Bombyx mori: one gene and its partner. The protein of the gene in region 1 purifies or fractionates together with the protein of each later gene. This does not show direct contact. Links are inferred from orthologs where the notes say so. Each region holds a gene or a part of one and is shown on either strand. Other genes may lie near its edges.

Region 1 (4,324 bases):
CATCGTTTTCTAATAAATTACAGTCACTCATGATTTTACTACTAATTTCATTTCAATGTATGCTAATAGACTGAAACTCTGAAAGTTAGTTTGACATTGATTATTATTTATTTGATTACTCTATTCTTTTTTATTTTCAGATGATAAAAAATTCACAAGCTTAAAGAGTATATTAAAATTTTAAAAATCGCATTTATTTCAACTAAAGAATTAAAAAGAAAGATCAAAAGTTAGAAGTTCTTTTCATATTTGAAATAATTTAATCATATTTTATGATTTTCGAATATCATTGAAAATTGCATTGTACTTAAAAGAAGTGAAAGTGATAAATATATATAATAATTAAGTAACAAATAGCGGAGGAACTGGGGATACCTATCAGCGACGCACTCCACCGGGCTGCAGGGCGGGATCGATGGAGACAGTTGGTTGACGAAATCGGACGGAGTCACGATCCTCAGCAGTGAGGAACCGATCGAAGAGAGAGAGAGAGAGAACAGTTTCATATTATTCGAGGAAATTTGTATGATGATTAATAAATGTATACATATAACATAATTTTTTTGGCAATCCTTCCCTTTTTTTGGTGGTTTTTTAATCATATTTATGAAAAAAAAAATTGACATTTTTTTTGAAGTAGATATCTATTTGTGCTATTTTTTTATTTTTTCCTACTTATTCTGATAGCCTTGAGAGGCTATTAAATTTCAGCTTCGCCATAACTTTATAAACTTGACAGTATAAAGGCGGACTTAATGCCATTTAAAATACAGTTCTATACAATACACTTCTATTATGTATATTATCTATTTTTGACGTTGATGTACGATTGTTGTGGGACTTTTTGACGGGAACGCGAGGAATGAAGTTTTGTGATCTGTTTTGTTTTGTCTATTTAGTGCTTCTTCGAGTTTAAAGGCGTAATAACGGTGGTTTATTATCTGTTTAGTAACTGTGTAAGTGCACAAATGTGTGAAAATGAAACAAAGCCGCCGAACGTAATTTCTCGGGATCTTCCAAAAAGTGCACTGAAAAAGTCTCACTAAATGTCCACCATTTTCCTGAGATTATATTTCATCCCATATCATCTCATCTCCTTTCATTTCATTTCGTTTTAATTTCCATTCAATTTAATTTCCTGCCATATTTCATATAAAAAAAGTTTTCATTAAAATTAAAATAAGTCTTGACCTAAAAGTCTTAGTTACCAGGTCATAAAGTCCTTTAAAAATGTGATTGTCGTATACATGTCTTATCTATGAATAATCTCTCAAATATAATAAGTGTATAATCTATGGAATAATCTATGGTGGTCGTGTTTGATGCGGAGTTTTCAAGATTAATTTGTGTAACTTTTTGATTTTTTAAACTCATATGGTCTCTAGATAAATACATCTTTATTAATTACATTTTATTTAAATTATTTACTACTTCTCATAACGTAAATCTACTATAAAACATGGCTGACGTGCTAGATATCGAAAATTCAGAAGAATTTGAAGTCGACGAAGATGGTGAACGTAAGTGGAACAATTGATATTATTAAAAATATTTTAATCAAATTTTGTTTCCTATTCATTATCTGTAAAGTCTGCTCGTAGCTTAAACAAGCAATTATGTGTGGACATAAAACGGGAAATGTTGTCTCAATTAAGGTTATAATTTCCGACTGAATTTTTTTTACATTTGTAATGTTATTATCGCCGGTCGACGTTAAACTTTCACCACTGGGTTTAATTTAAATGCACACATACAAAATGATGCACACCAGACTTGTTAAGACATATAAATCTAACATATAGATTGCTTGTTCCCCATTTTTTCATATTTCGTGCTTTAGGACATTACATTGGTGATTCTTACGTGTTTTATAATTATTCTTGCACTAAATTAAGCTTAAAGTAAACTAAAAATTGTAATGTTGTTGATTTCCAAAAATAACACATAATATACTGGTGGTAGGAGCTCTTGTGAGTCCGCGCGGGTGGGTACCACCACCCTGCCTATTTCTGCCGTAGCAGCCGGGCAGCCGTTGTATACTTGAGACCTTAGAACTTATATCTCAAGGTGGATGGCGCATTTACATTGTGGATGTCTATGGGCTCCAGTAACCACTAAACAACAGGTGGGCTGTGAGATCATGCACCCAACAATAAAAAAAAAATTTAGTGTAAAATTACAGTATTTAAAAATGTTACAGAGGGAATCGCTAGACTTAAGGAGAAGGCACGTAAGCGAAAAGGTCGTGGTTTTGGCAACGAAGCCGGTGGAGGCAGTGCTGCAGAACGGGGTAACCGCGGAAGGTAATACACAGATTTTGTCATTTTCCATTGTACTGAATAATAATATTTCTTGCTAATCAACAGAAGCTCTGTTTCCACTCTGGAAAAACCCACAACCGAACCAGGCTTAACATGTCCAACAGTGGCCAAAACTTTGTATTGTTTTGTTGCAGATACGACAGTTTAGCTCCGGAAGGCGATAGCGGTACACCAGGACCTCAGAGATCAGTTGAAGGCTGGATCCTGTTTGTCAGTAATGTACATGAAGAAGCACAAGAAGAAGATATACAGGCAATTAAAACTTCTTTTATTTATATTTAGAAGATAAAATTTCCACTTTGTATCTACTTGTAGCTACTGTTTGAGACACACCTTAATTTGAAATGGTTATAATTACAAAAAAACAATGTGAAAGATTAAAAGGTATATTCCTATTTAATTAATGTGAAATGTGAAATAGGTTAAGTCAAAGAAAAGATATTTTGTCATGTCAATGTATTTGTTGGTAAATAGACACGCATCAATAGGGACATTGACATATTCATAAAAATGTGAATGTAGCCACTTTGAAACATTAGTGTAAATCTGTGGAATAGTATTGATCAATAATAATATAATAATTTAATAGGACTATAGGTTTTTTTTATTGCCTTTCTAGGCAACATGCGAGCAGTAGACGAGCATATGGCCCACCTGATGGTAAGTGGTCAGCGTCGCTTATCGACGTCAGCAATGCGCCAGGGACAGAGCCAAGCCGCTGCCTACATTACTACATTGCCAATAAGATTAAATTATTATATGACCAATAGAATAAGTATGTAATACAAATCCTTTTTTTTTAATAAAAATATGTCAAGTTTTTCATAGAATATATGCAGACCACTATTACAAATTTTATTGAAGTTCTTTAGGCGCGTTGTGAAAAATTGATGAGAGTGAAATTTTACGATGCACGCGCACCGTGACACAAATTTAACAGAAATGAAGTTGCCCACTAAATCGCTCATTAAAATACGACCGCCGTAACTTGGAGAGTCTGAATATAGCCGCAGGTGAACTTTCGCGCATGTTCACTCGTAAAAAAAAGTGTGATTAGCATTTATTTTTTACTAATATAAATGACAAAATTATTTTTTAATATAATTCATACTAAATATTATTAAATTATTAACATTAAATATATTTATTTAACATCTAAAAAAAAATAAAAATTAATAAAAATAAAGTATAACTTCTTACGCGCGTACATAAGTACACGCACCCTTTTTTTATAAGGATCGGTGATTCGATCAGTGGAAACAATATTAGTTTGTTTTGTTGACAGAATCAATTTTCCGAGTTTGGTGAGATAAAGAATATTCATCTGAATCTGGACCGACGCACAGGCTTCCTCAAAGGCTACGCTCTAGTTGAGTACGAGACTTATAAACAAGCCGCTGTAAGTACTTAGTGCTACTGATTAATATAAGACTTACTGTGCTTTGGTATCCACTTTATACATACTGAATGATGACCGGTTTTTTTTGATAACGCCATCTTGTTGTGTCTTTAAAGCGGTTAGTTGCCCTCAATTAAGAAAAATAGTATTATTATTCGCCAATAGATGTCAGGAAGAGTTAATTTTTGAAAACACGAATAAAACAACATTTTCTCAAAATAAATCGTAGCTAGATCGATTTATCGTCCCCGAAATCCCCTGTATACTAAGTTATATGAAAATCGTTGGAGCCGTTTCCGAGATTCAAATTATATACATATATATTAATATACAAGAATTGCTCGTTTAAAGATATCCACTGTATACATCTTAAACTTCGTATGTATCTTTTTTAATTGCTTTGTTTGGATGAAAGAATTCACGGCCCGCTTGATTATAATGGTTACTGTAGTCCATAGACACCAACAATGAAAATACGCCATCTAACAGGTAACATGAGTTGAAACATGACTTCAAGTCGAACCATATTACTGCTTCACAGCAGACCTAGACGGGGCGATAGTACCTACCCATGCGAACTCACAACAAGCCCTATTACTAGTAT
Region 2 (4,449 bases), on another chromosome or scaffold:
TTTTGTTAATTGCTTAGGTTGCCCATAGACATCTCCAATGTAATTTTTTTTTTTAATGCTCGATGGGTAGACGAGCTCACAGCCCACCTGGTGTTAAGTAGTTACTGGAGCCCATAGACATCCACAACGTAAATGCGCCACCCACCTCGAGATATGATGTCTATGGTTTCAGTATAGTTACAACGGCTGCTCCACCCTTCAAACCGATTCGCATTACTGCTTTCACTGCAGAAATAGGCGGGGTAGTGGTCCCTACCCGTGCGGTCTCACAAAACGTCCTACCACCAGTATTAATCAATTTATGCTTAATCAAATTATGGTAATTGTAAGATATCATATACTTTATAGAAATTTATGCTATTCAAAGAAAGCCAGCCAATACTATTCAGTCTGTTAAATGATGTGCAAAATTACAGATTATGAAAAAGCTCACAAACATTATTTTTAAATTTATCTCAGATTGTATTTTTCAGCTATCACAAAAAAAAAACTGGGTATAAAATTGGTTTAATCTATTTTATAATTATATCTAAATATATATCTAATTTATAATAATAATTCATTTATTATTTTAATATGTTATTCGGTCGGTTTATAATTAACTGAATGGATAATCTATGTCTCATAACTTCTGATAGCTTTAGATGTACCTGGAGTAAAAGAGAATGAGGTAGGTATAGGTTTTTTTATCGCCTTTGTAGCCAGACAAGCATACAGCCCACATGTTGGTGAGTGGTTACTGTTGCTCATGGACTTACTGTATACAATGACCATAAGAAAAACTTTACCTTTGTTAATTAATAATAGGAACATGTTGATTAAATTAATAAAATGGAACAGTCTTTAAACTGCTCATTTTGTCATTTTAACACTGGCTTCATGATATAGAAATATGAAAATTCAATTATACCAGAATCAGACAAAAGTTAGAAGATAGGAAGATATTATTGCTTAAAATTACAAACTTGAAAATTTAATATTAAATGTAAGCCTACTTGATGTTGTTCTAATTGTTCTTTTCTTTCTTGTGAGAGTTCTCCTCTGGTGTGCAGAGTCCTCTGATTTGCTGCATGCAGAGCTTGAAGTTGAGCTCTTTCCGCCAGCAGATGTTTGGTTAGTGAAAGAAAGTAATCTTTCAAGAGAGTTCTAACTGCTGTTTGTTTCTCTGCCGGTAAAAATGTATTTCGAGGAACAGGAATATTATGTTTCTGGAAAATAAATGTTTTGCTCTTTATTTATTACAAACTAAGCCATTCCATCCTAAATGTTACTTAATACTACACATATGCATATAAACGAGGGATTCCCAAACTTAGTTTTATCTACTGCCCACTTTGAGAATAAATTATTTTTTAATGCCCCATTTTTTCACCTACTTAAAAACCACTATCACTTCAAATTCAATTAATTATTGCGAGCTATATTAGTTGTTATTCATTCTAAACGAGACTTTTACCTCAAGAGTTAACTTGATACCTGAGCACAGTAGGTAGTACACAACACCTGCCAATGAAAATGATAATTGACGCACAACTTTATAATGTTCTGACAGATTTCTTATAAAAAAATAAAAATAAAAATCGATTCTAAAATAAGAACTAAGGTGAAGGATGAATCTAATGCTGTTTAATAAGTTTGTTGATATCAGGTTCCCATTTATTCAAAAACAGTCAATCAAACAGTCAGTCAAAATCAAGTCCTCGCCTTCGGTAACATACAAACGATTTCTCTTTTTAGTAAGCAGTGTTGCCACAGCATTAATTTCACGTTCACACAAATATAACGATGGGAATGCTATCAAGAATCGTTGAACATTGACCACACATTGTCAATTCTATAAGTTCTTCTTCTATAACTGTTATGTGTGAAACCACAAATAAAAATAAAATAAGTATTACGTTGTTTATATAGGACTACTTAAGCAACACACCAATTATATTTAAATATAAATTATCAACATATTCATTTTTTCTTTTCTTAATTTGATAAATTAATTTTTTATTTACTTTTATTTAGTACTCACCTACATTAAGAAACAATAATTAGCTGTATTTACTAATAAATAAAAGAATAGCTGATAAGAAATCAACTTACCTCAGAAGCTTCTCGTATTTTTCTAGGCATAAGTCCAGCATAATCATCACCACAGTGTTTGCAAAATGATAACAAAATTGGTATATTGTTATGCTCTTCTTTGTCCATGTTTATTAGAACAGTTAATACATTACCCAGCAAAGGCAATCCAGTTTTATTCATAAAAATACCGACAGCCACTAATTCTGCATAAAATCTTATATCCACCCGCAGTTTTGATGAATTTGTTATTTTATCAGTCGCTTTGAATGTTAAAATCTTTTGCCAGTTTTCAAAAAAGTTAGATGAAAAATCAGCGTAAGTACGATGAAGAACTGAACATAGAGTTATAGCAGCAGGAATATCAGACATTTTCAATTTTGCTTCTGCTATTGCAGCAGCCACTTCTGATATATATTTTGTAAGATTTAATGTTGCAAAATCTTTCAAAAGTACATCCAGCTGAGAAGCACTAAATGATTTTAGTTTTTTTACAAATGTGGTATTCTTTTTCAAACCTGAATCTAGCTTGGAAAAATAATTTTCTGGTGGTCGAGAGCAATTCAAATTTTGATTACGTATTTCATATTTTTGTTTCAATCTGGCTTCCAAGTTAGCTGTATACTCTTCGAGAGCCGCTTTCTCATTTTCTTCTAAATCTTTAAGCGGTTCTTCAATAGGTGTTTCGTTTGCCTCATCGTTGTTGGTGGCAGTCATTTTATCTTTTAGATAGGTATTATTTGAAGCCAATGGACACCACTATATGGTGTGAGCAACTTTCTTTTGCATTTATTAACTCAGCAAATCACATTTAATTCATTTAAAAATTTACAAACATTTGGGTAAGGTGTCATAAATATTATGTGTATTATCTTTTTTTTAAAGGGATTTTATGACCTGGTAACTAAGACCTTTAAGTCATGTCTTATTTTAATTTATATTCATATTTTTATGAAAAATGATATTATGCAGTGAAATGAAATGAAGATTATTAATCTGAGACATTAATCAACTGGGATGAAATCATAGAGTTACTATTCTAACTGGAGTGCTTACTTCGTTTGACATAAAAACTAAAAATATACTTTATCTCTATGGCTTAAAGTTTATTTTTAAATAGCAAAAGATGTAAGGAAAAACGGTCTGAAAAGAGAATGATTATTAAGTGGTGGTGTCCCTCTCGCACATTTTACAAACAAAAAGCAGTGTTGCTAGCTTAGAGGATTTTCCATAAAATCTCGGAATTTGGACCCCCGTCTTAGTTATCAAAAATGGCTTTTAGTGGTTAGTGGATTTTTTAGTAGCTTGGGCGTTGTTGAAAATTATTGAAAAGGTTAAAATCAATCCACTTTACAGGATTTTAAACATTTTATGACAATAATATATCTAAATACATATTATTTAAACGATGTGACTTAAACTTAACTAGAAAATATTGCGACAATTTAGAATTTCCATCAACGTCAAAAATTAAATTGGTTCAACATAAACGTACAAAGTTATGGTGAATTTATTTTCTGATGATGACAATTTATTAAAATAAATTATATAAGAAGTATTGATTATATGATATATATTGATTTTTAATAGAACATCATATATTAATAAAGCTCATTAACAAAAAAAATATTGTTCTATATTAATAAGAACTCTGTTTAATGGAAAATTTTATGGTAGGTACGTAGATTTCTGATGGTTTTCATGTTGAATTTGGTGGGAAGCCAGATTAATTGTTGGCATCACCGAAAAAGAGCTATGAATGGATTAAAAGAAAAATGGCGTCTATTTACGTTTGTAGTGCGAAGTTAAAATGGCACTGATACAGCTTGTGGCTTGTTTTTTTTTCGAAAATCGTGAAAGTTTCCGTGTAATCATGGTGAACACTTTTAATATAAGTGGTTTTAAGCGAGAATCCTCTCCAGTTTGTGGAATATCCTTCCATATGTCAGATTCATTGATAAAATTTTTACTAGTGTGAGCATATATTTTTAAAATGTGAGATATATTTTCTCATTATAATATTTAATACCATTTGTCTTGTAAATTGTACTTAATCTATGTCATATACTAAATTTGAAAAAACAATCGTGAAAACTATAATTTTGCAATGTATTTTTCATATTATAAGAGCCATCACGTGGTATTTCTTGAACTTTTTTTATTGTATTGAATAGCGTCGCACGCAAGCATGTATATCATTTGCCTGACGTTAAGCGAACGAGGAGGATCTTCTAGTAAATATGACTTTGGAATTTCTGGAAAATGTCCTTTAAAAAGGTCAAACAAGAAGAATCAAGTACTCAAACGCAAGAAAAAAAAAATACCCCGAGAAAAGCAAAATTACGACAAGATGTTAAGGTATTGAAACAAAAACTT

What was found.
Region 2: the proteins of Y14 (region 1) and regulator of nonsense transcripts 2 purify together in Homo sapiens (co-immunoprecipitation; 6 studies listed by BioGRID and IntAct, with this or other methods). This does not show direct contact. The link is inferred for Bombyx mori from reciprocal best matches to the Homo sapiens genes RBM8A and UPF2.

The regions. Positions count from the first base shown.
Region 1 is NC_085108.1:4,111,698-4,116,021, reverse strand, and holds the start of Y14 (RNA binding motif protein Y14), read left to right. Parts: upstream 1-1,321; 5' UTR 1,322-1,459; coding exon 1,460-1,520; intron 1,521-2,200; coding exon 2,201-2,303; intron 2,304-2,455; coding exon 2,456-2,573; intron 2,574-3,606; coding exon 3,607-3,720; intron 3,721-4,324. Other genes in the region: uncharacterized protein LOC101745843, read right to left, coding at 1-31.
Region 2 is NC_085110.1:14,020,792-14,025,240, forward strand, and holds the start of regulator of nonsense transcripts 2, read right to left. Parts: upstream 2,964-4,449; 5' UTR 2,791-2,963; coding exon 2,095-2,790; intron 1,209-2,094; coding exon 996-1,208; intron 1-995. UniProt on the Homo sapiens protein: Involved in nonsense-mediated decay (NMD) of mRNAs containing premature stop codons by associating with the nuclear exon junction complex (EJC).